Linked DNA regions of Oreochromis niloticus. The main gene of each other region encodes a partner of the protein of the gene in region 3 in a complex. Links are inferred from orthologs where the notes say so. Each region holds a gene or a part of one and is shown on either strand. Other genes may lie near its edges.

Evidence for each region.
Region 1: ruvbl2 (region 3) and ing3 share a complex: the UniProt entries of both Homo sapiens proteins name them as parts of the SWR1-like complex. The link is inferred for Oreochromis niloticus from reciprocal best matches to the Homo sapiens genes RUVBL2 and ING3.
Region 2: ruvbl2 (region 3) and asdurf share a complex: the UniProt entries of both Homo sapiens proteins name them as parts of the PAQosome complex. The link is inferred for Oreochromis niloticus from reciprocal best matches to the Homo sapiens genes RUVBL2 and ASDURF.
Region 4: the proteins of ruvbl2 (region 3) and vps72a are in contact, whole or in part, in a cryo-EM structure (PDB 9CA9), measured with the Homo sapiens proteins. The link is inferred for Oreochromis niloticus from reciprocal best matches to the Homo sapiens genes RUVBL2 and VPS72. Residues at the interface, in NP_006657.1 of Homo sapiens: Glu141, Val142, Val143, Glu144, Ile145, Gln146, Ile147, Asp148, Arg149, Pro150, Ala151, Thr152, Val187, Gln188, Ala189, Gly190, Arg207, Phe209, Thr210, Arg211, Ala212, Asp214, Tyr215; in NP_005988.1 of Homo sapiens: Pro210, Ile211, Ile212, Thr213, Tyr214, His215, Ser216, Val217, Thr218, Arg260, Cys261, Ser262, Arg263, Thr264, Thr273, Glu276, Trp277.

Annotation. Positions count from the first base shown.
Region 1 is NC_031981.2:23,000,086-23,007,720, reverse strand, and holds the start of ing3 (inhibitor of growth protein 3), read right to left. Parts: upstream 3,021-7,635; 5' UTR 2,889-3,020; coding exon 2,861-2,888; intron 2,720-2,860; coding exon 2,648-2,719; intron 464-2,647; coding exon 363-463; intron 288-362; coding exon 222-287; intron 1-221. Other genes in the region: tspan12 (tetraspanin-12), read left to right, coding at 4,483-4,632, 5,055-5,137, 5,320-5,455, 6,611-6,676. UniProt on the Homo sapiens protein: Component of the NuA4 histone acetyltransferase (HAT) complex which is involved in transcriptional activation of select genes principally by acetylation of nucleosomal histones H4 and H2A.
Region 2 is NC_031987.2:6,963,850-6,970,553, reverse strand, and holds asdurf (ASDURF protein), read left to right. Parts: upstream 1-4,504; 5' UTR 4,505-4,636; coding exon 4,637-4,711; intron 4,712-4,904; coding exon 4,905-4,958; intron 4,959-5,122; coding exon 5,123-5,198; intron 5,199-6,096; coding exon 6,097-6,137; 3' UTR 6,138-6,155; downstream 6,156-6,704. Other genes in the region: asnsd1 (asparagine synthetase domain-containing protein 1), read left to right, coding at 6,156-6,704.
Region 3 is NC_031975.2:1,309,767-1,316,824, reverse strand, and holds the start of ruvbl2 (ruvB-like 2), read left to right. Parts: upstream 1-4,040; 5' UTR 4,041-4,180; intron 4,181-4,624; exon of another isoform or gene 4,625-4,732; intron 4,733-4,929; coding exon 4,930-4,984; intron 4,985-5,121; coding exon 5,122-5,177; intron 5,178-5,294; coding exon 5,295-5,436; intron 5,437-5,611; coding exon 5,612-5,741; intron 5,742-5,825; coding exon 5,826-5,892; intron 5,893-6,909; coding exon 6,910-7,016; intron 7,017-7,058. Other genes in the region: ftr83 (finTRIM family, member 83), read left to right, coding at 102-170, 1,193-1,719. UniProt on the Homo sapiens protein: Possesses single-stranded DNA-stimulated ATPase and ATP-dependent DNA helicase (5' to 3') activity; hexamerization is thought to be critical for ATP hydrolysis and adjacent subunits in the ring-like structure contribute to the ATPase activity.
Region 4 is NC_031985.2:19,712,448-19,719,921, reverse strand, and holds the start of vps72a (vacuolar protein sorting 72 homolog a), read left to right. Parts: upstream 1-4,469; 5' UTR 4,470-4,752; coding exon 4,753-4,869; intron 4,870-7,142; coding exon 7,143-7,295; intron 7,296-7,474. Other genes in the region: leucine-rich repeat and immunoglobulin-like domain-containing nogo receptor-interacting protein 1, read left to right, coding at 1,627-3,456. UniProt on the Homo sapiens protein: Deposition-and-exchange histone chaperone specific for H2AZ1, specifically chaperones H2AZ1 and deposits it into nucleosomes.

The DNA.
Region 1 (7,635 bases), on a different chromosome or scaffold from region 3:
GTATCATTCAGTGATAGTGACAATGCTCTCAGACTGCAGGATAAGTAACTCCTTGTGGTTTTTTAGTGGCTCTTCAAGGCTCTTTCTGCCATCTAGTGGCGGCTGTGTGGAATAACTGAGGGTTCCTCAGATTTCTACATGTTAAAGCCGTTTAAGCCTAAATGTGCACCTTTACCATTCTGTGATCACCTGAGTGACACCTGAAGGAAACCTTTACTCACCAGGTCATAGATCTGATTGGCCAGCTGGACTTTCTCATCTGCATCTTCCAGAGCTTTGTAGTAATCCTAAGAACACACGCAGGTTTAACCCAAGATCCACACACACACGCACAGAAACAAGAAGAATCCGCCACCTCTGACCTTTTTAATGACCTCCATCTGCTCCTCCCTCCACTCTGGTTTGTTCTTCTTGGCGTTTACAAAGAACTCAATGACCTTCTGCTCCAGCTGATCCGTGGCATCTGAAGGAACAAACAGGAAACAACGTGAGAAAATGCAGCACTCAGCATTTTAACATCACGTGTGTAAAGTCTGAGTGCGGCCCTCCCTCAGGTGTTTCCTCTCTGGTGAACTGCAGACTTATTCTGAGCCTGGAGATCACCTTTGGACTGTAGCTGTAATGAAATCAGAGCTGAGGACTCACCTGGCCCACACTCCCTCATGTGATTTGTTTCTGAGTGTTTCCTGCCAGCTGAAACCTGCAGCAGTGAGTGTGCCATGTGTGGATAATATTTGTCAGATTTTGTTGATTACTGATTGGATATGCTCTCTGACCTGACCTGCTTCAATGGTGCAGTATAAATAAAGTTTGATTTTAACTTTATTTCTCCAGCTCTCACTCAGTGAGTGCTCCTGTTATGTCACAGATCTGTGTCTCTGAACCAATGTGATTAAAACTGAAGTGGTTTCATCATCACTTTAAAGTTATATAGAGTCTGTGCATTTTTAAGACCAACTGAAAACGCCCACGGACCGAGGCTGACAACTTCACACAGCTCAGTCTGCTGATCCTAAAGACCAATAAATAACCTGAAAACCACCAGGATCTAATATAAGAGCAGAATTATGCTCTAATGAAAATGAAAAAAATTGTGTAAAAAGCATTTGCAGCAACAAAACCATAGTATTCCAGAAACACGCTTTGCTAATTACGATGAGCGCATCCGCCATTACCTACCTGAAACCAGAAGTGGCATCATCTTCGCGGAAAATGTAGTTTTTTTTTCCTATAGGGCATTTACAAAGATATGCTGGTGGTTTTAAAATTCATGTTTATGGCTTTCTGTACAGTTTCTGGGATGCTTAGAACTCAAATTACACTGCTGGAAATAGTTTATGTTGATGCACATGCTGTTTTTTGCAAATTTGCATTACAATATTTACTTTTGTTTTTCCTACAGTATATAAAAATTTGTGTATGTCAAAAATAAAACTATGAATACACTCAAAATAAATTTCCTGTGGTTGGAAACTATTTTGTGCAACTTTTTTGCATTTACAGTTTTGAGGGATATACCCCTGAAATTTCTCTAACTAGAAATATGTGTAAAAAAACAACAACAAAAAAACAAAAACAATTGTACATTCTTTTGTAGTTTATTGCACTTTTTTGCAATTCATGTAGTTACTATAGCAACTTGAAATACTCACAAAAAATGGCACTACAGCATCTAAAAATATGAAGATAAGCTCTGGCAGACTTGGTTTTATGGTAGGTCTTAAAGGGTTAATATCCTGAGGTTTAAACAGATAGAAAAATGACAGCAAAGTGTCCAGCAATACTGGACCTGTATTTATTTGGTATTGGATCAATACTGAAATCTGCAGTATCACACAGCACTAGCGCCCAGCACAGGCTCATTCAGAGTATCCCTAACACTGATTTATTATTACACCTTTCAGAGTCGCGTTTATAACACTGTTACAACATTGTTCTTTTTTTTCTGGCTGCACACACAAACGTTTAGAAAGTGGTTTAATTTATCTAAGTCTAAGTCCAATTAAATTTGTGTCAGTGATTGAAACAAAATATTTTAGAGGAAATGATTACTATTTTAATAATCCTTCATTTTAAATTTCAGTTCAAAATTAATTTTGTTCAGCAACTTAATTTACCAAAACATATTTTACTAAAACCTTTTTTTTTTTAAATTTAAACTTAACCCCCCCCCAAATATTTACAGAAATCCTGTTAAATAATCTCAGTTTAGACCAAATATAACTGATTATTTTTTTTATTTATAAAGTGTTAAAATGATGATCAGGACCTCATGTGAGCGTCTAACAGCGATAATCATTTTAAAGTTGCTTTATTAGCAACTTTACTTTTCATGTGCATGAATGTGAACTTTCGGATCGGCAGTGTTAAAGGGGAGGGGTCCCTGTAGGTAGGTGAATGTGACCCTGCAGGTGGATGCTGTGCTGCAGTCTCATGCTGGTATCTACTGGGTTTCAGCCCGTTAGCCGCCTGTGCTAACATGTGCTAATTAAGTAAGCGCAGCTCGGGCGTTCATCGGCGCCGGGACGCGACTCTGTTGCTTGGACAGTCCCAGCAGGGCTGCCACTATGTGTGCATTCCGCAGCACGCGTGTCCCCGGTGTGGTGTGGCCGGTGTGTGGCGCCGTTGGCGGCGGGGTTGTACGTACTCTGAACCTGCAGGTCCATCTCCCTCATTTCCGTAAACCTGTCGCGGAGATCCATGGGTAGCTGCTCGATCACTGCCAGGAGAAGAAAAGGCGGTTACCTGCTAGCACGGCTAGGCTAACTGCCGGAGCCGACCTAGCCGGTAAATAACACATATTTAACGCGCAGCAGAGCCCTGTCACACCGCCGCCGCTTCGTTGCAGTCCCATACTCACTCTCCAGGTAGTCCTCCAGGTACAGCATCGTGTTTAATTTAAGCTTTCAGCCGTTTTCTCCGACAATTCTCTGCTTTCAATATGGCGCCGCCTGCCAACGTCTGCCCAGAAAAAATACCCAGAAAAAAGGAGGTCATGGATGCTGACGCAAACGTCTGCCTGCGCTCTGATTGGTTCAAATACAGGCAGGCGTTGACAGGACAGATGCATCATGGGAATTGTATTTGTATTTACATTTATTTACGTCTTTTAGGCAGTACAGTAATCCTTTATTTATTTATTTATTTGCAAATAAAAAGCAAGAGGGTTGTTTTTCTCAAGCCTTGTAAAATATTTCATTTCGACTGCACATTTACACAAAGCTTTGGGACATTTTTTTACCTGAAAAATTGCATTAATGACCAGCTGAAAATTATATTTACTTTTCTACAAAAATATGTGGACAGAAACAACTAAAGAGATAGTAAGAATATATCCATCTCACCACCATTTCTGTTCAGATATGTTTGTTCATGTATTAAATATTAGATTTGTGCGTTGTGGTACTAATTTAACACATTTAAAGTATGTGGACAAACAGTATAAGCTGTATGGTAACTTCTGTCCACATTCGCTTGTGTTTTCACACATGTTCGGCTGTTAATTAAACATATCCCACTTCATGTGACTATAATTATTCATGAACCGAGCAGCGATTCTATTTTAATGATCATATATTAATTATAAGTTCTTATCATTGATTTTAATAACTTTAAAATGAGTGTACATGTTAGTCTATATACTTTTGGGTATATATATTGTTTTAGATTAGTGTTATAAGAACCATCCATTTACCATTTAGATAGCCAATCACATGCATTCACATAATTTTGATCACAAGTGTGAGCAGAAAAACAAACAGGCAGCCTAAATGGCCAAAATTATGTAGACACAAACGATATGTCTTACTGTATTTCCGTGGAAGTTTATGTCCACATACTTTTGTCATACATTTTTCTTTCTACGTCTTTATGTTCAGTGTCCGGCAGTCCCGTGTGTAACACAATAATATATGTGCAAATAGTCAGAAAGTATGTGGAAAATAATTACAAGGTAGCCTAAAATAAGTGTCCACATAATTTCGGGACAAAAAGTGCTGCTGCAAAGAGTTTATGACCAGAACTATGTGGACAAACACTCCAAGCGCTGTGTGTTTCCTGCAGCTTCATCCTCTCAATCTCGGCCTGCTGACCCCACGGCTGTGCGGCTGGAGGCGGACACATTCCTCTGTCCTCCCCCCGGACGCTGTGAGGGAGGAGGCGGAGCTGCTGCTGCTTTAATTAGTGAAGAAGGAGCAGCAGGAGGAGCAGAGGAGCGGACGGTTCGGATTGTTACGCAGCAGACTGCCGGAGCTCTGTGTGTGTGTGTGTGTGTGTGTGTGTGTCCGTGTATTTTGTGACAGTCTGGATCTGTGCGGAGGTGTGCGGACAGCGGTGACCGGTTCGGAGCGTGCGCAGTGAGGACCACCTGCTGCTGGTCACCGAGCGGGCCAGGGCGCGCGGGGACGGAATGCGGGTTTCACGCACGGAGCACGCGCAGTTCCTGAGCGCTCCGTGCTGTGTGAGTGCAGCGAGCATGTTGCCATGGTGCCCCGGGCTCAGATGAGCGGCACGCGGAGGAGCTCCGGTCGGGATGGCTCGCGAGGACGCAGTGAGGTGTCTGCGCTGCCTGCTGTACGCGCTCAACCTGCTGTTCTGGGTGAGAGGAGCGGGCACGCGCACGACTACAAGAGTGTAATTGCCCTTTAATGATCAGTGTGTTAGAGTCATTATACTAAAGCAGTCAAACAATGCAGTATTTTACTGTAGTAACTGTAGGTACTGTGTTTAGTGGCAGTTCTGTGCATAAAGTACTGTGTGTCTAGTAGTAGTTCTTTGTCTGGAGTACTGTGTTTAGTGGTAGTTCTGTGTACAGAGTGCTGTGTTTAGTGGTAATTCTGTGTACATAGTACTGTGTTTAGTGGTAATTCTGTGTACAGAATACTGTGTTTAGTGGTAATTCTGTGTAGAGAGTACTGTTTAGTGGTAGTTCTGTGTACAGGGACAGGCAGTGCTGGGGTGAAGCAGGCCGGGTGTTCCTCGCTGCCTGCTTCACATTCTCAGATGTTATTATAGGCAGCAGAAACATATCCATGTGTTTATTTCTGTGTGTCCAGCTGATGTCAGCATGTGTGCTGGGAGTGGCGGCGTGGATCCGTGACTCTCTCAACACCGTTCTCACCCTGACGGCCCACACCAGGTGAGTCTGGCCGGGCTTGCAGCTCAGGTATGAGAGCCAACCAGGTGACAGCACCTGAAAGTTTTAATCAGCTTTATCTGACACACCTTGTCTCTGATAGATGATCCAGATGTGAACTAAACAGCTGCTTTTGTGAAGCTCAGAGCATGGAGGCTAATTCATGTGTGTGTGTGTATATGCAGGTTGGAGGAAGCTGCCGTCCTCACGTACTCTCCAGCTGTTCACCCCGTCATTGTTGCCGTGTGCTGCTTTCTCATCATCGTGGCAATGGTGGGGTACTGCGGCACGCTCAGGTGTGACCTGCTGCTGCTCTCCTGGGTACGAATGCTCACATCAGACACTTCAGACAGGATCTTTACTTTAACCAAAGACGACATTTATCTCAGATTTTACAATCAGAAGCAGGAAGTCCACGTCCTGGATTCAGCTGGCATTGAGCAGGAAACAGTCTCTGAGTGGTCTGACACATTGGGAAAAGCACAGATGAAGTCTCTGTTGTGAATCAGCCAGCAGAGGAAACATTGTTAGCTGCTCTGACTGTTGGTCAGTGTGTTACCTGTATGTTTGCATGACTGTTGATCAGTGTGTTAGCTGTGACAGGTCTACACTGAGACTGATGTCATGACACAAGCGCCCGCGGCTCCCGCCTTCCTGTGATGGGGTTGGCATTTTGCGTACACAGTGAAGTGGGAACATCAGAAACCTGGAGCTGATGTCTCTGAACCTGAAGCCCTATGAGCACTGAGGCAGACTCACCTAAGCTTCATCATAATGACACACTCCTCAGGTAGACTGAGCTCTTATCAATTGGTTCTGCTGCAGCCTATCAGAGCATCATCTGCTCACCAGCTGCTAAACAAGGTGAAGAGGTCAGCCTCTACCTCCACACGCTCCACCCGCCTCACACACCTGCATATGGGAGGATTGAGCTCAGTCCAGAGTCCACCACTGTCAGCAGGTGTGCAGGTGTATGATGTCACACACAGCCCACTCTGGACTCTCAGGTAGAGCTCACAGAGGTCACACTGTCCACCCAACTGTGTGTTTGAACTACACCACCTGTTTGCTGTGCTCTGATTGGGCAGGGCCAGGTGTTGGGTGCCCCATTGTTCCCAACAGGTGATAAGATTGTCTCCGAAAGATGAGCTGCTGAGAGGAGCTTCAGTCTGCTACAGGGACTACCCCAGGGCATGATGGGAACCCGCTCAGCCAGTTCCAACACACACACCTCAGTTAGTTGTGAGATTACATAACAGTAGATGTCACTCATGTTTGTGAGTGAGTAGGTTATTCAGGTGGACAAGGAGATAAAACCAGCTTCAGACATCACACATTACTGTGCTGCTCAGAGTTTAGAGCTGCAGACGCCTCGGGGCTGTCACTGAGGGAGGGGACGACGTCGGCTTCACGGCTTTCTGACAGAAAGGTTTTAGGTTGATTATCAGACTAAACTCGTCTCCGCCTGTGTTTCAGTACTTCGGCAGTCTGTTGGTGATCTTCTGTGTGGAGCTGGCCAGTGCTGTGTGGACCTACGAGGAGGTGAGAACATTGAAAGCTTTGAGTCCCTGAACGTGTCATGTAGTCAGACGTGAATGTGTTTAACCAACAAACCATCAGAGCAGGTAAAATTATAATCATGTTTCATAACTGAGCCTCTGTTCATGTGAAATTCTGCAGCTTTTTCTCACTGACTGATCGTCATGGCAACAAGTTTGTCAGTACGGAGTTATGGTGGTGTCGCACACATGCAAGTGTTTCTGTCCTAAACGGATCATTTCTCGCCTCATGCACCGGCTGGACTCCCGGCTTGTCTCTAATAATAATCAGGAATCTCAGACTTATCCGGCTCCTCTTTCAGCGCTGTCACGACACGCCCGTCACCTCACACCCACCTGCAAAGTACTTTAATACATCTACTCCAGTACTGCAGGGTACATTACCTGCAGTAGTTCGTAGGTCAGTGAGTGTCAGACTCACGCTAACGATAACAAAATAAATATTGAAGGCTTGCTCCTCTGGGAGAGCTCAGAGAGCCTTGAGCAGCGCTTCCTGACTCGTTGCTTACAGCCTGAGCTTTTCCTGCTGATTTCTCAAAGTTCTCAAAGTTTCAGGTGATCTTCAAACTTTATAAACAACAAACTAAAGAAAAAATCTGATTGGCTCAATCAGATTTTAGGGGTGACAGAATATGTTCTTTAGTTTGTTGTTTATAAAGTTTCATTTTGAATGCTGTCTTTGAAGCACAACAGTTTGAGCCAGCCTTTGAACTCTGACCTCAGGCTCATCTTTTATCTCTGGATCAGCTGCCTGCAGGGGGTTGTGGGTATCGTAGTGAAGTTTTTTTTTTCTTTATCAGTCGAGCAGACACTCACACATGGACCTCAGGTTGGTCCCTGTTTGGGGGGTTGCAGTAAAAACCTGAAGTTCTGAGTGTGTGAGGCCTCAGGCTCACTGTAGTGTGTTTTGGGTTTGTTGTGTGGAAAGTGGCTGGAATTCTT
Region 2 (6,704 bases), on a different chromosome or scaffold from region 3:
TAAATATTATTGCACTGGGTAAAGTAGTATAAGCAGGAGATGGTCACTCATTTCCTGCTTATTTATAGGCATGAGAAACGTTTATTCAAGGCTGGATTTCCAAGAGGAATCAAAGAGCAGATGCCTGAGTTGGATCTGTCCAAAGGTCGCAAAACTGCTCCAAAGCACAATGCTACATTCAATGATACAGTTTAACCTGAGCAGAAATATAAAACCAGAAATTTACTGTGCATCTAAGATGTAATCTGGTTCATAACCTCTTTAAATCTAACATTTGAGTTGTCTGTGATTCAAAATGTTAATTCATGATTTTAAAAGTTGCTAACTAGAAGCAAGTTTTTTTTAACTTTCTGGAAGCTGTGTAATTTGTTATTAATCTTATCATCTTATCCTTGTTATTACGAGCACCTTCCACTTAGAAGAAATGTGAATAAGATATTAATTTACTGGGTTATCTGTGTCCTGCTTAGGATTATATAAATACAATGCTCTCAATGGACTTTCCACCTTTTTGGAACACACAATGGAAAAGTTAATAATAGATGAACGGTAGTGCTAAAATAATAAACATTACAATTTCCATTTCCTGAAAATGTGCTTACTTAGCATCTGATAAGAGGTTAAAGATGTTTATACATTTTTTTGCATGCTCCATTAAAACCACTGACACTGATCTTCTCGTTATGATCCAATGTTCTGCTGGGACACCTGACTCCCGGCTTTCATTTAGATATTACTTAGACAAGCACTGTCCACCTAAAATGTGTTGCAGACTAACTCTGCACTTGTATGGAAATAGTACCCGCTGCGAGTCTGTGGTCTCCTCCCACAGGACAATGTGTACTCCTGCACCTTAAAACAACTCGAGGAACATAACAAAGATGTCGTACCTACATGTGGCTCTTTTGTCCTTATACTGCGGCTCCGGGTGGTTTGGGAAAATAAATTAGAAGTTTTTAGCTGAAGTGTATTTTATTTGTGTTTAAATAAAGGTCTAAATTGGAAGATTATTGTGATATTGAAATATAAAAATAAAATTATATTTTATTATTTTTCATCGCTCAAAATAAGCGTCACACTCGCGGAAGCCGGTATACCCGCCGAAACGCCGTGCATTTATCGAGACTTTCAACCCCAGGTAGGCCAATTATGGATCTTCGGATCCACATTATGTCAGCAGCTATTCTCCACCGTGAACTATGTTAAAAACAAACACCGCTCACACCTCACAGACGACAGCTTAGTTCTGCTTAAAGATGAAAGTGACTTCGTACAGCCCCGATTTGCAGACGCTGTGCGCAGAGGTTCAGGAGCAGAAGTTCCATTGTAAACATACTACGGCAAACCCGCTGCTTTTCAGCATCTCTTTATTGACCACTTTTCACACACGGTTGCTGTACGCATACAGCCGGCTGCAGCTTTTCAGCTCACAGCCCGACAACACAAGAGCAGAGAGCACAGACTTTAAGGCTGCGAGGCGTGATTGCGGGTGCAGCTCAGGTGCGTCCGACTCCCATGCAGCGGCACTGCAGACCACGCCCCGCCACACACATTAACCAGATAAAATGCATATTTAGGCAGAATTTTGCAAATATCTATTTTTCATTTTTTAGCAGCATAGTGCTTTTTTTCCAATTATTTTTTAAAAGTCAGGTCAAGGCTCCAAAAGCCCAAAGGTGGTATAAGGGAGGCGGCTCACAACAGTTTTTGTTTGCTACATGGATCATTTTAGTTCAGCTGGGTGTCCTTCCTTTTGTTAAATTTCTTTAAGAGTTCAAAATGTGTTAATTACATAAATAAAATGTAATTTTCTCTGTAGCACTTCATGGATTTCATAAGGAACACACTTAAGCTGTTCACACAAAGCATAAAGGTAAAAAAAACAATATATACAGTGTTATCTTCATTTTAGATGTCAAAACGTATTTGCGGCTCCCAGTGTTTTCTTTTGCGTGGAAACCGGGTCCAAATGGCTCTTTGGGTGTTAAAGGTTGCAGACCCCTGAGATAGACCAAAACTGTTTTTTGTAGCAGGTTGTAAACTTGTTTATTTCTGCTGTAGAGTTGGGAGTCTATGCGACTTGACTAATTTGTTGAGGAAGTCTCAAGTGGCCACTAGAGGAACTACAGTTTTTGGCCCCAGAGCACCACCCAGCATTCCAGAAGACCCAAAGGGGATCCCCCTGAAGATGCCACCCCCCGGGAGGTCCTGTGTTTAAGAATACTTTGGTGGTTTTAATGTTGAGTTTTACCATGATAACTGGTAATTACTAACAAATCCACTAATTTACAGACACAAAGAGAATCAGTGCAGCTTCTTTTAGCCCAGGTTCCTTCCAGTGGAATAATCCAGCCCTAAATTTAACTCTTAATGTGTGATCCAAGCAGGTTGGAGGTTGGGTTATTTTAGGACGAAGCTCTGTGAATGCACATGAAAACAAATGCAGTGCATATGCACTCTGTGCTGTCTCATTGCATGAGGGAGCAAAACTGACAGCGACAGGTAACATAAGCACGTATTTTGAGCCAGGTGATGACAATAGGCGCTTCAGTTCCTTTGTGATCTTTTTCAGAGCGCTCAACCGTCTCAAAGCCTGCACACACTGAGCCGCTACAAACAGATTACCAGCTCCACTATTAGTGGGCCGCTGTGTCAGGTAGCTGTCATCAGCGGTCAGGCGGCTGCTCTGTCATTTTGTGGCCATGTGACCTGCAGGTACGTCTGTTCCTGAAGGGATTCCGGGATGTGCAACAACAAGCTCTGTTTACATCGGCTAAATTTGTACTCCCTGGATAAAAATATGAGGATGACCTGCCTCTTGTGGCCCAAAGTTGTCTCACATTTACCAGCCGCAGCTAAAGAAGGGATCCAGGTGCAAGATGGGAAATCTCTTATTCATCTATTCTTTATGCTTCTCCTCTTTTTTGTGCTCTGTTGCAATGAAGGTATTAAAGAACAGCTCAGTCATATTTCAATAAAGTCTGATAAAATCCGAATACCCGAGGCCTGGCTCTTGAGGTCTCAAGGTCACAACACCTGATACAGAAAGATGACCAACCATCTGAGTGACCAAAGAAACAATGGTCGTAATCACCGTTTTGGGAGCACAACAGGGCTGTGGTCAGTTTAGTTTTTGTGGATATAAGGCCAAAGAGTTTTATATGTGCCTGACAACTCCACCACAGAACAATAAACATCAAAGGTCACAGTCTGGCCGGCTGTGACAGCCTGCGGCCGCCGTTCCTAAAATGACAGCCCTCGCTTTCAGGGAATGAGACTGCAAACATCTGACAGCTGTTTCCGATCAATAAGGCATTGCAGCTGAGTGGGCAGTGAACCAACGTGAGGCTTCAGGCAGGTGTGTTTGTCAAGTTTAAAAGGTGCTTGACCAGCTGCAGGAGCAAGAAATCAGCACTGGTGTCACTGAGGGGGTTTCGTTTTTATCAGCAGTGGAGTTATGCATGAGCTCAGACTGTTACAGCAGCTTTTCACTGCTCTAAGGAAGATCGGCCCACTGCTTTGGTTTGATTTCAGATTGCACTGGAGACTCCTAATGGCTTTGATGGTCCATAACGACAGTAATAAATATTTGGCCCAAATGTCATTAGGATGAGTCTAGCTACCCCAGCAGAGCCACAGGTTCACCTTTATAGACCGAATGTCAGGTGTGCTGTGGCATCGAGCCCACCCGACATCTGCAGTAACCCAGAGCTTGTGATGTGTGATCTGCATATTTGGTAACTGAAGATGTCCAGATTAGACCCAAGTGTGTCTGCTGTGTGGGGCAGGTTGACATCTGTGGTTCTAATTGAGAGAAAAGTGACAGTCATACCTAGACCTCACTTTCCCCGGGCACATTCTCCAGCTTTTTTAGGGGGGTCTAAGCCTGCTGAGAGACATCATCGCTCCTTCATGACCTATTGAAGGGTTTCCTACCAGTAAAAAAAATGCCTAAAACACCTCACCTGGGAGGAATCCAGGAGGCATCCTGGACATACATCACCTGAACCACCTCAGTAGGCTCCAAATAAGGCTGACTTTGATAAAAGTCTAATGAAATGAACATCGATAGACAGCCATGTTTAAGTGAATAAAAGGACTTTGGCTTATTTTGAAACTCTGACTGGTCTTGGTGCACATTAAAATAATGTTAATTGGATAATGCTTCACGTTAAGTCCCCAAATAAATGCCAGGAGTTTCAGGCTGACTACCTTTGGTGGTTGAAGAAAGTCTTGGAAGCTTGTGGTGACCCATTGATGTATATGGTGCATCCAAGTGCATTGTGGGATGGCAAACATGGCATGAAGAAACATATAAAAAACATAAATAAATAAAAGAAGGAATCATATCATATTTAACTGGTTTGCTCTGGTAAAAAAAAAAAAAGAAAAGAAAAAGTTAAAAAAAAAATAGACCATGTACAAATTAATATCTGTATTTTTTGATACAGATGAATGATACAGTTGAATGGCTGTATTACCGCCCACCAGCAGGAGGCAGTAGAGTTCAAACTGTGTAAACCTTCAGCACCCGGAAAAGCTTCCTTCTGGTTAGACACATGAGTTTACTCTGAACCGGGTTCGATTTTATTAGTAAAATCTCTGGACAGTTTTTCCTACGTTTCTTCGCACTATCATGTCTTCAAAAGGCTGCAGCAGTGACGAGCAGTTTGAAGGACAGGCCGCAGTAAAAGAAGAGCTGAACAAGAAGGTAGCGTTAGCCCAAACATGCTAATATGGCTAATGTGGCTGTAACAGACCACAGGATGTCTCCCAAATACATAGGTTTTTGGTTATTTTCGTTATGTATAATTATTCTGCCGCTTCTGTTAGCTTTATGTGTCTTAACAGATTCAGATAGTGTAGTTTTTATCGGTGAAACTTTCCGTGTTGCCAATTTACAGATTAAAGAGCAGAAGGTGCTTGTGGACGAGCTCTGCAATCTGAAGAAAAACAGGGTGAGTGGAGGAAGTGGAAAAGTCTCAAAATTTATTAGATCACATCATTATCTGTGCAGTTATGATGGGAAACACGCAAATCACATCCCTATGTTGTCAGGCTGGTGCAGTCATGTGTTTTGAGAGTGTAAATGTGGGTTAATGCAGATTGTTTCCCCCCTCAGAAAGTCTACATCCAGCAGAGGAACAGTAACATCTTCTTCGTAGGAGACAGAAGTCAGACACTCACTTCCTGCAAAAGTAAGATGAGAGAAGTGTCTCTGGTTGAGAGGTGAAAACTTCCGTGTTGGAAGTAAAGATGAACAAAAATTCTAAAAAAATTTTTTAACTGAGAGTTTTTTTTCTGAAAAATGTGATACATCATGTGACAAACAGGGTAGATTCCAGATTAAGATGCAAAAAACAGATTTATCCCGCTTTGTTTATTTTTTAACATCCATCCATCCATCCATCCAATCGTTTTCTGCTGCTATCCAGGATAGTGGGAGACTGGGGGCAGTAATCTAAGCAGAGAAGGCCAGACCTCCCTTCCCTAAAGACCTCCACTTGCTAATTTGGAAGAAGACCAAGGTGTTTCCAGGCCAGCTGAGAGATGTGATCTCTCCAGTTTGTCCTGTATCTATCCCAGGGCTTCCTCTTATAAGGACATGCCCAGAACATCTCGTCCAGTCCAGAGTTGTTCTGATCAAAACTCCATTAGATTTTCAAGAATATGTCGATCAAACTTCAGGCGTCGTTATCAAGACAAGCTAAAGATTGAAAAGTCACCGGCATCACTGTGGGGGTGTTTCTGAGCCGCATTGTTTATTTTAGGTTTATGCATCAGAAACTGCTCAATAAAGGACTTTATTCAGACGTAGGTTTGAGAAATATTTGCAGTGAGGTAAAAACAAACACTGGAAATGTTGGAAAGTCTTGTTACTCTTGGTTGTGTCAGTGCCCGGCTGTTTTTCTGTTCTGTCTTTGCCGGCTTTTCCTGTATTTACTCATTTTGAATTTGATGCCAGTGAAGTTGGGAACGGGGTCCCCGTTTTTAAAAAAAAAAAAATTAAACACTCAGCAGCGTGTTTTATGCTATAATAGGACTGTAGTGAAGGCTCTTATGGCTTATGTAACTAGTGCATTGTTCTGTTTGCAGAGGAGCTCGATTATATGAAAAAGGAACTTCAGGATATCTGAGGCCACAGCAACGCCGCGATGTGTGGGATCTTCTGTGCGCTGAGTCTGGCGTCCGCTCACTCTCAGTGGAACCAAAGAGTTTATGAACATTTAAAAAGGAGAGGGCCCAATTCGAGCCGGGACCTCACCATCACAGACTCAGATCTCAGCTATCGCTGTTTATTCTCTGCTCACGTTCTTCACATGAGAGGTCTTCTCACTGCTCAGCCGCTTCAAGACAACGCTGGAAACATCCTGCTGTGGAATGGAGAGATTTTCAGTGGCCTGCCGGTGACGCCAGAGGAGAACGACACCGCGGTTGTAGCTCAGCGGCTATCATCCTGCAATGCCCCTTCAGAGATTCTCGCTGTCCTGTCTGCTATTCGTGGACCTTGGGGGTTTGTTTACTACCAGAAGGCAGGAGACTACCTGTGGTTTGGCCGAGATTTCTTTGGTAGGCGGAGCTTATTATGGACATTTGACGCAGAGGCCGGTGAACTGACTCTAACTTCTGTGGCTGCTCACACTTCTGGTCCCAAACAGTGCGTGTGGCAGGAAGTCCCGGTAGCTGGTGTGTTCAGGGTTAAC
Region 3 (7,058 bases):
GAACATTACCTCCTGCACACATATTAGCTGTTCAGCTGCAGCACATTAAAAAACTGCTGACACACAGCTCTGTCTGATTTTCTGTGTGTTTCCTCTCACAGGTGACGAAGCTCCCATGTACAAGTCTATGCCAGTCAAGGAGCCTCAGTACAGGGAGGACTTCCTGAGATGTGAGTCTCCTCTGATCCACACAGTTCACTGTTCTCGCTGCTCAGTTCACTGCATGACGCAAATTAGATGGGTTCTCTGTCAGACCCTGTGGCTGACCACTAAATCTGCTCTTAGAAGCTGCTGTTTGTCCTACAGTGTTGACAGAGGTTGGGACTGATTCACTGCAAATATTGCACAGCTATGTCATTTTTACTTAAGCTGCATTTTAACCTCCTGCAACCCGAGCTCTCGTTTGGGATGCATTTTTAATTTCTCCAAATTTTCTTGAAGCTGATTAGTTTAAAAAAAAGAAGCATCGCTTTTGAATAGAAAGGGTTTTTTTTAATATATAAATATATTAAAAAGTATGTCCTCAATAGAGAGACAGTGGGTTTGTTTTCCAGCATAACACAATATAGTTTTATGGTCATTATTAACAGAGTATTAAACATTTATTGAGTAAGATGAAGTGTAAGTCTAAATGTAATGTCCCCATATGAGGACACAGAGTCTCAGGAGGTTAATCCAGCTTTCAACAGAAATCGTTGGGGGCTCAAAATCTCAGCAGGGGAAAAACTGCACAGTCACTGACTCGCCTCACAGCTAAAAAAGGTCTTTGCTAGCTGGAATTCTGTTTGTGGTCAAACTCACAAACAGTGTTTGATACCTCTGGCATTCCAGATCATAGGCCGGGCAGATCTAGCCGAGGGCATCGGGTGTCTCACCAACTGTGACCTGCAGAGGTGGAGATACACAGCAGTCAGGTGACTATTCTGATTTCTGTGTCCAGCCAGAGGGTCTCTTGCTTTTTCTTCAAAGCGTGTTTTGCAGAAGCTAATTAAACTTCTACCGCAGTGAGTAGAAGTTTAACTGAGATGTTGATGACGTTCTGCTGCTGCATTGGAGTGGGGTGCTTCAGCTGCTGTAGGACAGATGCTTTGGCTTTCTTTGCTTTCCTCTTTTACATTTATCCCAGAGTGATTTAAGTTAAGCACTTCCTCTTGTTGAGTAAATAATGAACTTATCTTCCACCCATCTTTAGATGCTTGCCAGCTCACCCTTGACCAAAACACAGCCTACAGACAGCTTTACTTGTCACGAGGGAACAGAAAAGCTGCCCTCAAGAGAGACCCCCAGTCCTACCCTGACAGCCCTGCCAGGTTCGACTCCCTGCCCCAGGTCTTGTGTAAGGAGCCCCTCTCTGGAGGCACCTACTACTGGGAGGTAGACTGGAGTGGGGAGGGGGCTTCCATCGGCATCGCCTACAAAGGCATCAAGAGAACGGGCTACGGTGACAGCTGCCGCATCGGCTACAACCGCAAGTCATGGAGCCTTTTCTGCTCTGATTCCAGTTACTCAGCCCGCCACAACAAGGACCAGCAAGAGGTCAACGCGCCCTACTCCTCCCGCATCGGCGTTTTCCTGGATCACGCCGGGGGTACTCTCTCATTCTACACTGTTGGGGAAACCATGTCTCTAATCCACCGCTTTAAGGCCTCCTTTAGTGAACCTGTCTATCCAGGCTTCTGGGTTTGGTATGAGTCAGCCATTACCATTATCCAGCTGTGATTAAGTAACACATATCCAAAGATCAGTGGGTGTGGATGACGAGTACTGTTGTGAGAAAATATGCTTTTGTTCCCCCCCCCCTTTTTTTTCTAATATTAGATCGTTGTTTTGTTTGCTATCCAATATGTGCTGATGGGGGAAACGATGCTTGATGAGCAAATATTCAGCAAATCAACATGTGTTCAGTGTAAAATTAGTTGTAGAAAGTCAATGAGCATTTACTAATTCAGAAATAATATAGTATATGCATATTTACACTATAATTCAAAATAATGAACCTTGTACAATGTGATGACCATTTGTGATATTATGCTTTTTTTTATCAAATAAACTTTTGGTAACAAGCATGAGCTGTGATGTGGATTTTTTTTCTCTCATTTCTTCTATGATGACGAGCTTCCTAACTCACTCTTCAAGCTAATCAGCTCTAAGCCAGATCTGTAAGATCTTTAAAAGTCAGACATTTCCTGCCATTAGCAACATCACTCAGAGTGCAATTATTTCATAAGCAAATGTAAAATAGACCCAGCTTTGCGTGTGGACTAGTAGGAGATGGTGTGTTTGTGTGTGCTTAAAGCACAGTGTTTTGGAAAGCAGCTGAGAGGTCAGCAGGGAACTCTACAGGAACAGGCGAGGTGTAACTGAGAGGTTTCTGTGACGCTTAAGGCTCGTTATGCTGAATGGAAGTATGACTGAGTCCTAATGTATCGTCAAGTTCTTCATTAAAAAGTTCTGAGTTAGTGTAGCGACTCAGGAGCTGCAAAATTTACTACTTGAGTTCTACTTGATCAGCGTAGATGATAAAACTGCATCCAATCCGAGGTTTGCCCTTTTACCATGCAGCAGTCGCTCTGCTGTGATGTTTAAATAAAGCGACTTCAGTTTGTGGAATCTTAAGCCTGGGCCTTGAGGTGAAGCTTGAGCGGTCTAGTGGAGAGGATATGAAAACCCCTCCAGAAACCTTAAGATTATAATCAGCAGGCAAGCTTTCCCATTGTTCAATAATACTGCAGTCTTGATTTTTTAAGCTTTTAAAATTACTTTTTGCAAATATGAAGCTCAGCTTGAGACAAAGATGACAATAAAAATCTCAAACTCATCTCCATAGTTTGGATTATAATATTTCTCAGTTTAAAAAATGAGAGAGGCTTTTATGCACAATAAGATGAATGAAGCGGAGCCTGTAGAAAGTTGAGGTTGGTGGTAGCAAACGTTTATCCGGCTTGCTGCGGTCATCAATACCACTCTGCAAAAACTTTGGCTTCAAATTTGAAATTCTTAAACCTTTAATACAACTCGGGGGTCTTGCCACCTCTGGTGGACAAACGTCTGCAGTACCAAGTTTGAGCAGGTTTTTTTTTTTTATCGTGGCTGGTGACTGAAGTGAAAGCTTCCGCTGTTAACGTGTGCAAACAGTAACTAAAACAGTGCAAAATGCTTCCTTGGCTGGTCCAGCTTACGTACAGTATGACATTGACATTTCTACATTCTACATTATACCAGTAAATATTAAAGATTTCCACGGACGGGCTATTTTGTTGCGAGAAGAAAAGGTAAAATGTGAAAAGGGAGTTAAAGGGAGCCTAGCACACAGTTTAACCACTCTGGACTGAAACGGGCTTCACGGATTAAAATGTCCAAAATATAATCCAGGACACCGGTAAATCTCCAAAAGTTGAATCTGTTCATCTGGACGTAGCGTTTGGTGGGAGAAACGTTTCGTCACTCATCCAAGTGACTTCTTCAGTCTCAGCTGACTGCAGGTTTCCCCAAACCTTATCAACAGTACATTTGCATAATGACTGAAACCAGCCCACTGAAGGAACAATGGGCTGTGAGGTCAGTTCCTTAATCATAATTGTGCAAATTCCCATGACCATTGATCAACAATCACTGACCAGAACCCACTGATCAAAGAACACTGATCAATGGCCATGAGTACCATTCACAGAGAGTTGGGGAATGGCTGCAATCACAGCATTGTAAGATGGCCAGTGATTGTTGATCAATGGTCATGGGAATTTGCACAATTATGATTAAGGAACTGACCTCACAGCCCATTGTTCCTTTAGTGGGCTGGGTTCAGTCATTATGCAAATGTACTGTTTATAAGGTTTGGGGAAACCTGCAGTCAGCTGAGACTGAAGAAGTCACTTGGATGAGTGACGAAACTTTTCTCCCACCAAACGCTACGTCCAGATGAACAGATTCAACTTTTGGAGATTTACTTTCCTGGATGATTGAGAATGCATCAAGACACCGGTAAGGTTTCCTGCCACTCCCTGTAAGTCACAAGCTCGTGCTGTCATTTTACCATCGAGCCCATAGAGGGCAGTCAACCCAAACATCCCCTAGCAGGAAAAAGAAATAAAAGAAGCGGTTTCTGTACGGACGCTTTTAATCTGCGCACAATCAGAAAGAAGCGCCGCATTCTCACATTTTCGTAAGTGTGGCTGCACAGGTGAGTGTTCATGCGATCAATATAAACAGTGCTAACTCCAGGCTTTCACACTGTGGTGTTACAGGATGTGTCCTGTAAGATCATCCTTTCGTGTTCTGTTGAACATCGCGTCTTCGTCTTGCTAAGCAGGAGTTACTCAAAGAAGAAAGCTTTGAATGGAGCTAGCTAATTTGCTAACATAACATTAGCTGGTGTTAGCATTACTTGTCACTGTCCTTGCTCTGTTTACTTGGCGCCAAACTAGATTTGTGGCTTTGGTGTACCACGTTATTAAATCTGTGTAATGGCGATACCCGAGCTTTCCGTTGCTTATATGAAAAAGTGAAAATACGAAGAATAAAAAGCCTTAGAAACTAGGCTAACGTAATGCTAACACTGTTCTTACTCTGTTGTGGCATGCGCTCAACTCTGTCACTATGACAACCACCTGACCAGGACGGGCTCTTTAAAGTGTTAATTGTTTGACAATCTAATGTTGTGGTAGTCTTATCACCAAAGTGTTTTGTTTTTTAACATTTATTTAATGGTGACTGGGTTGTATGTCGTTAAAACGTCAGTAGAAATATTTGAACCTCTTGCTGGATCGAATATTTTTTTTATTTATCTATTGTTTGACATTCTGACATAGAGTGGGATACTCTGAATACTCTGTCTAATAATGCATGTTTTTAAATTTAAAAGTAGTGGTAGGAAAGCGGGCAGGATCACTTTATAGTGACTAATGAATGATTTCTCTGCTTTTAATACAGATGGCAACTACAAAGGTTCCAGAGGTTCGTGACATCACACGAATCGAGAGAATTGGTAGGACTGAGACCCGGAAACACATGATTGGTTACTGTGTGATAGTGCTGTGATAGGTGCACATGGTACCTGATTCTTGAGAGTTTTTTCACTTCCTGTGACTCACATTATTTTATCTGTTTTCACCTTGTGTTTAGGTGCACATTCTCACATTCGTGGCCTTGGTTTGGATGATGCTTTGGAGCCAAGACAGGTAGCTTTAATTCCCTTTTCCTCTCTTTCTTAAGGGGCATGTAATAGATTTGTGACTTAAATATTCTGTGTCTGTGTAGAGGAGATGTGCCTTTTACATGTCTATGTTCAATTCCAGGTGTCTCAGGGGATGGTTGGCCAGCTGGCCTCCCGTCGAGCTGCAGGAGTCATCTTGGAGATGATCAAAGATGGCCACATTGCTGGCAGGGCAGTACTGATTGCTGGCCAGCCTGGCACAGGAAAGACTGCAATTGCTATGGGTAAGAGCTCCACTGGAAGCTTTCCAGAACATAATATCAGCCCCAGTTAGAAGATATTGGTTTCTTGGATTGATGGAATTGGCTTAGGGTACATTTTTGTTGCTCCTAGCTTGATTGGCAGAGTGTAGGTTTGGCTGAGACTTTGTTTTTGATTTTGGGGGGTTTTCCAATGCAGGCATCGCCCAGTCTCTTGGCCCTGATACACCCTTTACAGCACTGGCTGGTAGTGAGATCTTCTCCCTGGAGATGAGCAAGACTGAGGCACTTAGCCAAGCTTTTAGAAAAGCCATCGGAGTAAGGATCAAGTGAGTGAGCAAATGCTGTAATAGGGTTTGGTAAATCTTCTTATACGAAAAGAACTGCTATTAACTGTTTTTGTTTTTTAACAGAGAGGAGACGGAGATCATTGAAGGAGAGGTGGTCGAGATCCAGATTGACAGACCAGCCACAGGAACAGTAAGCAGCTTACACTCATAATATAGTTAACCCAGTCTTTTTATGTGGTTCTTTGGAAAGTATTTTATTGGTCACACTAGGGTTGGGCGATATGTAAAAATTTTCCAACCGACAATCGTCAGTCCAATAATCGACGATGGGCGACATATTCGTGCATGCGCAGACTTTTTGATGGGCGGAGCAATGTAATCATGCACGGACTGATTTGCACGTTTACAACACAGAAGAAGTCCAAACATGGACGAACTAATTTCCCAAAAATTAGGGCTGTGGCGTTAACGCGGTCATCACGATTAACGCGATTAAAAATTTTAACACGCTGAACCCATCGGGAGCGCAGAATGAACGAACTTTGGACAAACTGCTCAAAATGTGTTGACAGAGACATTTCAGGGATTTTGACTCAGTCTGCGCACTGATGGGTTACTTGTTAATCGCGTTAGTCGTGACGATGGCGCATTAACGCTGACAGCACTAAAAAAATATAAAGTTGCCAATTTGGGATTTTTAAGCCAGATGAAAGCAGCAAACCTGAGGATGTAACCAAAGCGGTGTGCGCTTGTGCAGACGTATAGTGCGAGCAAAGTACTCAAACACGGCTAACTTGCATGAGCATGTACGTGTCCACCGTCCAGCTGAGTATGCTAGGCTATCAGCAGCTTCTGCAGCTACATCATCAAGCATCTGGGCGCACTCTGAGGAGGGGGCGTTTGCTCGCAGATGAAAGAGGGTGCCGTTATCTTTTTTCTGTTGACTGCTTCTATTAGCTCCATCATTCTTAGCAAACTTACTCATGGGCGGGCAAATAAATAAATAAATCACCCGTGTGAAAACGATCGCCGATGGGCCGATGGGCTCAGCCTGTTGTCAATAATCGATATTTTCATCCAGTCGCCCAACCCGAGTGTCACAGACAGTATAGATTTCACATGTAGTTAAATGAACATGTAAACACTGTTGTAGATATAAAACACTGTACTTCATATAACTTACTGAGAATTTTGTGCCTTGGATCAGGGTGCAAAGGTGGGCAAGTTGACGCTAAAGACTACAGAGATGGAGACGATCTATGACTTGGGCAACAAGATGATTGACAGTTTGAGTAAAGAGAAGGTGCAAGCTGGGTAAGTTCAGTAGGTGATCTTGTTACAGGACCTGTTATGTAT
Region 4 (7,474 bases), on a different chromosome or scaffold from region 3:
TTCTGTTGAATGAACTGCAATATCAATTCACCGAGAAGTTAAAATCTTAATTTAATATCTTTATTTTGTCGTTGGTTGTTTACATTAGAGGGGAATGTGTTTTTTAAACTAATCCACAGTGTGGAGGTTTGTCGCTGAGCTTTGAGAACTGTAACAAAATAATGAGCTCAGATTTTCAACTCCCAGCCTCCCTCAGTGAATCGCTCAGGTGTCGAGGTTTCAGACGGATGATTTTGGAAAGTACTTCAGATGTGAATCTGGCCTAAATGTCACATCAGTGAGGATAAAGGAGAAAAATTATGAAACTGATGAATGAAAGGTATTATATGATCTGAAATTATTAACACTTAAAGTCAGTCAAAAGCACATTTCTCAATATTTCCAGGACTACAAATAAAGGAAACTCTATCAGAACACCTGAGGTCCTATAAGGTTTTTTTTTTCCTTAACTCTTGTGTGAAATAAACGACAAAATATCACCTTACAAGTCTGCAGGGGTACGAGCTGTTTCCATATACACCTCCTGTTTGTCAAGAACAAAAGGATCACATTATTAACTAGTGGGTTTAGTTACGAGCGAACAAACTTTTTCCACGTGTAATAAATTGTTCTTTTTCAATATACATTAAAGGTCTTTGTGTAATGTTATTATGGCTTGGATTTAAAATTATAAATCTATTTTTTTCACATTCATCTTTATTGGCTTATCTAGTCAAAATGCATGATCATGCAGGAGTGATAATTTTTCCCATAGAAGACCACAAATCGTATTAATTGTGTTCTCTTCATATTTGGGGGTGTGTGGGGGGGTGGTGGTGTCTAAAACGCTTAGACAAGCAAATTAATAAATAGAAAGAAAAGAAGACGTACGTATCGTGCCAAGTGCTTGGCAACCATATTGCCACATAACTGAGGATAAGTGGCTTCTTTCAGCATCGTGACTGAATCAAATAGTCACATTTGCTGTTTATCCTAATTAGAGCCATTTAGTTAATCTTCTAGAGAGGGAGCTGGAATGGAGATGAGCAACGAAAGAGCTGAATACCAAGTTTTATTAAAAAAAAACAACAAAAACCACACACACACACAACAAAAACACAAAAACTGTTGGAGCCCGCCCGACACTATACTTAATGTTGTGTAGGAACAACATTATTTCTTTTAGCCATGGAATTATGAGAGTGGGGAAGCTTTGTCTCCTTCCACTGAAGTGAGGCACTTTAATACTTTCCCTGTTGATGTAAATTCTTCTGGCACATAGAGCTCAAAGGAGGAGTTTGAGAGTTTTAGGGAGTAAATCAAAGAACGAGGATCAAATGAACATCTGCCACATTCATCGCTTGTGTTAAACAGGTTTTTGTAAATTAAAGTGTATTCTATGTAGAGTTTAAACTGAATTAAAGTCAGACTGGCATAAGATAAAGTGGATTTAACCCAATCAAGAGATCTCTGCCACCATCCATGTGACAAGTTGACATCCAATTCTTCTTTTCTCTATTCCTAACTGGCAGTGGTGATACAAAAATAATAATTTAAGATTAAAAAAATGTATACAGAAAGACCCATGACTCCTTTCACCTGTGATTCACTTTATCTATCCCCTCACTCGTACACACAGGTCACCAGATGTTCGAGAGGAGCGCCGTCCACCAACGGCTTTGCTGGGGAGCTCTCTACCTGCTGGCAGCAGGGGTGGCTTTGACATCTGAGACGCGTTGGCTGTGTCCGCCATCCTGCCACTGTAACGCTACGGCGCTGGAAGTGAACTGCTCTGGTGGCCAACTTACCAGAGTTCCTGATGGTCTCTCACAGGAAGCCAGGCTGCTAAACTTAACCCAAAACACACTCAAGACTTTGGTGCGTCAGCAGTTCCACACGCTGACACAGCTGTCGGACTTGGATTTAAGTGACAATCTTTTGGTAATAATTGAAGTGGAAGCCTTTCTTGGCTTGCAGAGTCTGAGAACTCTGCGCCTTTGTCGCAATCATCTGAAGATTATCCCAGTGGGAGCGTTTGCTGGCTTAACAAACCTCCAGTTACTGGACGTAAGCAGCAATCAGCTTCTTGTTTTCCTCGACTTTACTTTCAGTGAATTAAACGCCCTGCGGTTCATGAAAGCTGCAGATAATGACTTGGTTTATGTCTCTCATCAAGCTTTTACAGGACTAACCAGTCTGCAGGAGCTGCACCTTGATGGCTGCAACCTAACTGCTATGCCAGCAGAGGCGCTCACACAACTTAGCGTGCTGAGAAGCCTTAGTTTTCACCGACTGGGCCTCACTACGCTGCCAAACTACTCTTTCCGCCACCTAGTCCACCTAAAGGAACTTGTCATTTCTCATTGCCCCTGGCTGGAGAGTCTGTCAGGAAACAGTCTCTTTGGCTTAAACCTCACATCACTAACCATTAAACATGGCAACCTAAGTGCCTTTCCCTACATCCCTTTACATCACCTTGTATATCTCGTATACCTTGACCTTTCTTTTAACCCCATCACCTACATTCATGCAAACCTTCTTGGAGACTTGCTCCGGCTCCAAGAGTTACATCTTGTTGGGGGATCGCTGCTTAGGATTGAAATCGGAGCATTCAAGGGTTTGGCCCACTTCAGATTGCTGAATGCATCCAGAAACCATCTTACCACACTTGAGGTTGGAGCTTTTTATTCAGTGGACACCCTAAGAACTCTGGGGCTTGATAACAACCCACTGGCATGTGACTGCCGTTTGCTTTGGGTGGTGCAAAGGCGACTCTACATGGACTTTGGTGAAAGTCCGCCAACTTGCATTACCTCAGTCCAGCTGCAGGGCTGGAATTTTCTGGATTTCCCTGAGGCTGAGCTGCCGGATTTGCTCACCTGTCGGCCACCTCGAATTCTGAACCGCAAAGCTCAGGTGATGAAAGTAGATCAGGGACACACAGTGGTGTTTCACTGCAGTGCCGAAGGTGACCCTCTGCCATCTGTCAGATGGCTAAACCCACAGCTAAGATCTTTATCACCCATCGGCAGAGTACGAGCTCTGTCCAATGGCTCGCTGGAGGTTCGCTATGCTCAGCCTCAAGACAGTGGCAAGTATCTCTGCGTGGCATCAAACGCAGCGGGAAACGACAGCCTGCCCGTTAGCCTTCATGTCCAAACCTTTCCATCATCTTCTAAGAAACCATTTCGTCTTAAAGGTTGGTCTGCCTTTCCATCTGCTGCTCCAGGTGTGAATGGAAATCAGAAACTCCATTTTGATGTAAAGACGCTACTGATAGCAGCAACCATAGGGTTTCTCTCATTTTTCAGCTCTGTGAGTGTTTGTTTCATTTTCATGTTCTTCTGGAGTAAGGGCAAAGGTCAGATAAAACACACAGCCACGATCGCGTATGTGCCACGAAGCGCCATGTCGAGCAGTAATGGAGGGACAAGCAGCTATATGGAAACGGGGAGGTTTACCATGAAGCTGTTATGAGTCAATAAGCAAAGAATATATTCACCTGATATGAGTAGGTATCAGTGAATAAACTGCAAGATGCTTCAATTTATTTGTTTTTTGCTTGAATCTGATAATAATGAGCATGAAATCTTAATTAATAGTATTTTAAATTGCATTTAAGAAATGTGACCTGACAAACCATGATCATGTTTATCTTGAAACACAAAAAATAAGGAAATGAGGATAAAATAAATTAAAGAGTGAACTTAAAATAACAGTTACATTGGACTTCGGGTGGACTATTTGGACTGATGAGATATGGAGAATCTAACAATAGGGGTATTAACCTTATATTAAGGTTAATGTGCAGGTTATTGTGTAGCTTCTTTTCTGTAGCATGTTGTTTTTTCTTGATTAATTTCTGCACTGTTTATTATTTAATAAATGTGTGAAATGCAAGTTGGTTGTTTTTTTAAAAATTCTGCTATCCAAGAACTTGGAAAAATTAAAGTGATTATGCTTTCACAAATTTGGTGTACTTACTTAAAAATTTACAGCACTACAGCATCCAGTGAGGAGCAGCACACACAGCACTTGGTTTAATGCGTCTATATTTGAACTGCAAGGTTTAAAAAATCTCCATAAGCAGTTTTGTACTTACATTGTGGGCAAGTAGACCGTAATACTTAACTTACCTTCACCGGTGAGTGGAGCTGGCTGCAATAACTGACAACTAAAACGGTAAGGGGTGGATATAATTTTTAGTTCAGGCTAACAATAAACAAATATAATAAATAAATGCGTAATAAATAAATGACTTTAACAGTAGATAGAGACTGCTGAGTAGTGCAGTCATTATCGTGCTTACAAAAATTACAGAGTTGCCATGACAACGCATACGCACACATACCTCACAGTTTCCTGAAACAGTTATTCAATTTTTGAATAAAATATTTCCTAATAGAAGCTTCGCATTAACTGCGTAATTGATTATTTTTTTCCATGTCAAGCCAGACAACTAAAATAAACTGTTAGTCCGCCCGCTAGCCCGGAAGTAGATCAACAGTCCCGGATATGGTTGCTTGCTAAACGAGAGCTACCGGTCAGTTGTACATTTCATTTGTCAGTGTTTATCGCCTCTTATAAGAAAAATTATAAAGTATCCCTTGAATTTAAAAGGGTCTACAAATATGGGCACCTACATACAATTAAGCAAATATACTGAGTAACGACGAGGTCAAAGAGGTTCCCGCAAAACGATCTATATCTTTTAGCGTAACATAACGAGCTAAGTAGCTTAGCATTGATTAGCATAGTTTGGAAAGCACAATCATGAGCCTCGCAGTTGGCCGCGAACCCAGAAAGACTGCGGGAAACCGTATGTCCAAACTACTGGATGCTGAAGAAGAGGATGAGTTCTACAAGACCACTTACGGAGGGTTCAACGATGTGAGTAACCAAACTGATAAACACAGAGCGCGATAAAGAGTTAGCATTAGCCGGCTCCAGTGTTAATGACTAGAGCCTAAAAACAAAGTTTGTTCTGCGCGCAATACCTGAATTACCGCTTCTCGTTTTTAGGGAATTTGGTTCATGTCTATTTGCTGCCTGACAATGAAGCAAGCAGCCAACTCACTTTTATATTTATACATTTATATTATTTACAAATTAGTATAACGGAAGAATTTAGTTTCTGCCAGGCTACTGACCATGCACTAGTACAGGAGACATCTCTCACGATTTTGAGACTGACATGACTGGGAGTGGGTCTCACTGATATAAATCAGACTCTCACAGCATTACACGATCCAGACCTTTTAGACAAGCCAGCACGTCTTCACACGTTTATTTTAATATTAAATCCTAATGAGAGTATCATATATGGCAGGGCTGCTGCATTATACTTCAATACTTTTAAAGAGTTTGTCAGGAAACTCTTGACTAAAGGGTTATGTGCATGTAAACAGCAATTTTAAAAGCTATTCTAGTTTTATCAGGTTCTTGCTAGGGCAGATCAATTAAATGTATTTATTTATTTATTTTTATTAATTTGTTGGGGTTTATTGGATTTTGTATAAATCCAATAAAATAAATTAATTAATTAATTTAGCAGTAAAAAATAAATTTAGCAGTCCATCACTGAAAGCACTTACTTCCTCTCTACTAGGCTGAGGCTGTGGTTCAAAAGTGAATTAACTCTCACTGGTAATTGGGGAGTCATGTTTGATTGTGATTTTTAACAGTAACCATTCCTGCCATCATTTCCGTAGTGATGTTGAAAAACAATCTCATCAGATTTTGGATTTTGACAAGAGAGAAAACTGAGCTGAGTGTGAAAGCGAAGCTGTCGATTTTACCAGTCGATCTGTGTTCCTACCCTCGCTATGACCACGAGCTGTGGGCAAGAACGAGATTGCAAATGCAAGCGTCAGAAATCAGTTTCCTCCAAATGGTGTCTGGGCTTTAGAGAAAGAATGAGGAGTTCAGTGATTTCAGTATAGCGTCTACTTTACATATCAGAAGGAGCCGGTTGGGGTGGGTCAAGAATTGGATTATGATGCCTCCTAGGGGAGGTGTTTCGAGTGTGTATTAGCAGGAGGTGGCCCTGGAGCAGACCCGGTAGAGGGAGGTCTGGGGCTTCTCTACTAACACTGCTGCGCCTATTACCTGGACCTGGATTAGCAGCACAAAATGGAAAGATAAATGGAGAAAGCTCGTCATTAGGCTGGGGTTCTCAGATCTGAGAGTACAGTTTTGGAACTATAAGAGAAATGAGGTGAATTAAAAGGACACATCTAAAAATGAGTGTGTCTTGCCACTGTTCATTCGAAATGGTGACCATGGCTTAGTTTAGAGTTGGCCTTACAATTATAGTTTGAACACCAGCTGTAAACAGAGCCTAGATGATGCCAGCTTTTCCCGCTTCACGCTTGAAGAGAGAAGAAAGTTGTGTGATATTGTTTGTCAGAACATTTGATGCTGTAGCAATCTCACACGTTATGGCTTGCTTTTGAAGATGCTAATTTGTTTCCTCAATTTACAGTGTGGCTAATTTTCTTCAAACAGCTGCTGGTTCAGGGGCCACCTTGTGTAGGGGGATTTGGCACCGGCAGCTCTGGCAGTTCTGACAAGAGTGGCTTCATAAAAAAATCACAAACAGATCCTGAGATGCCTCAGTCATCTCTGCTGGGACTTTGATAAAGCACTGTGAACGTGCCTGTGTGTGCACACGCATCCTTTATCTGTGCAGTTTTCAGGGATATTTTTGTCTTGTGCTGCTTTCTAAATCTTTCCTGTCATTGGATGTTGGGTTTCAAAATGACCCACATTTGTTTTAATAAATTTGAAAATTCACATTGTTAGTGCGCATAATGCATTTGTGTTATTTTATTTATCTTTGCACCTGGTTTGGGCTTAAGGCTTGAGTTTGAGTTTTGCTTGAGTTTTGTGATGTAGCTTTGACAATGAGGGAAAACATCTTTAATAAAAATAAATAACCTGTTTATTATTAAATCTCTTAATGGGATGTGACTTTGAATACATTGCTACACACTTGCCAGATAGAAATGTGTGAGATTTTAATCAATAGGCCTGAAAACTACACTTAGAAAAAATGCAGGGGAAATTTGGTGTTTGCTGTTATGTCTCAGATTACTTGCAGATGGTTTGTTCTGTTGTTCTTTTCCTGATTTTATTTATTGCTCCTTTTTTTTGTCTTTCAGGAATCGGGAGATGATGAGTATCACGGAGAACATTCAGATACAGAGGACGAAGTTGACAGTGACTTCGACATCGATGAAGGTGACGAGCCGGACAGTGACCAGGAGGAGGACGCACCTCGGAGGAAAAGCCGGGTTGTCACCAAAGCTTACAAGGTACTGCAGGACCAATCAAACTTTGAGTTAAGCTGAATTCAATTGCCCTAATACCATGTGTCATCATGTATCACTTTGCTGCGGATTTGAAACACAAAGATGGAAACTATTTGGTTTTCCCTTAAAAAAAGAAAAAGGAAAAGTACTATTTAGCACCTTTCTTTTAATCCCTGTGTTGT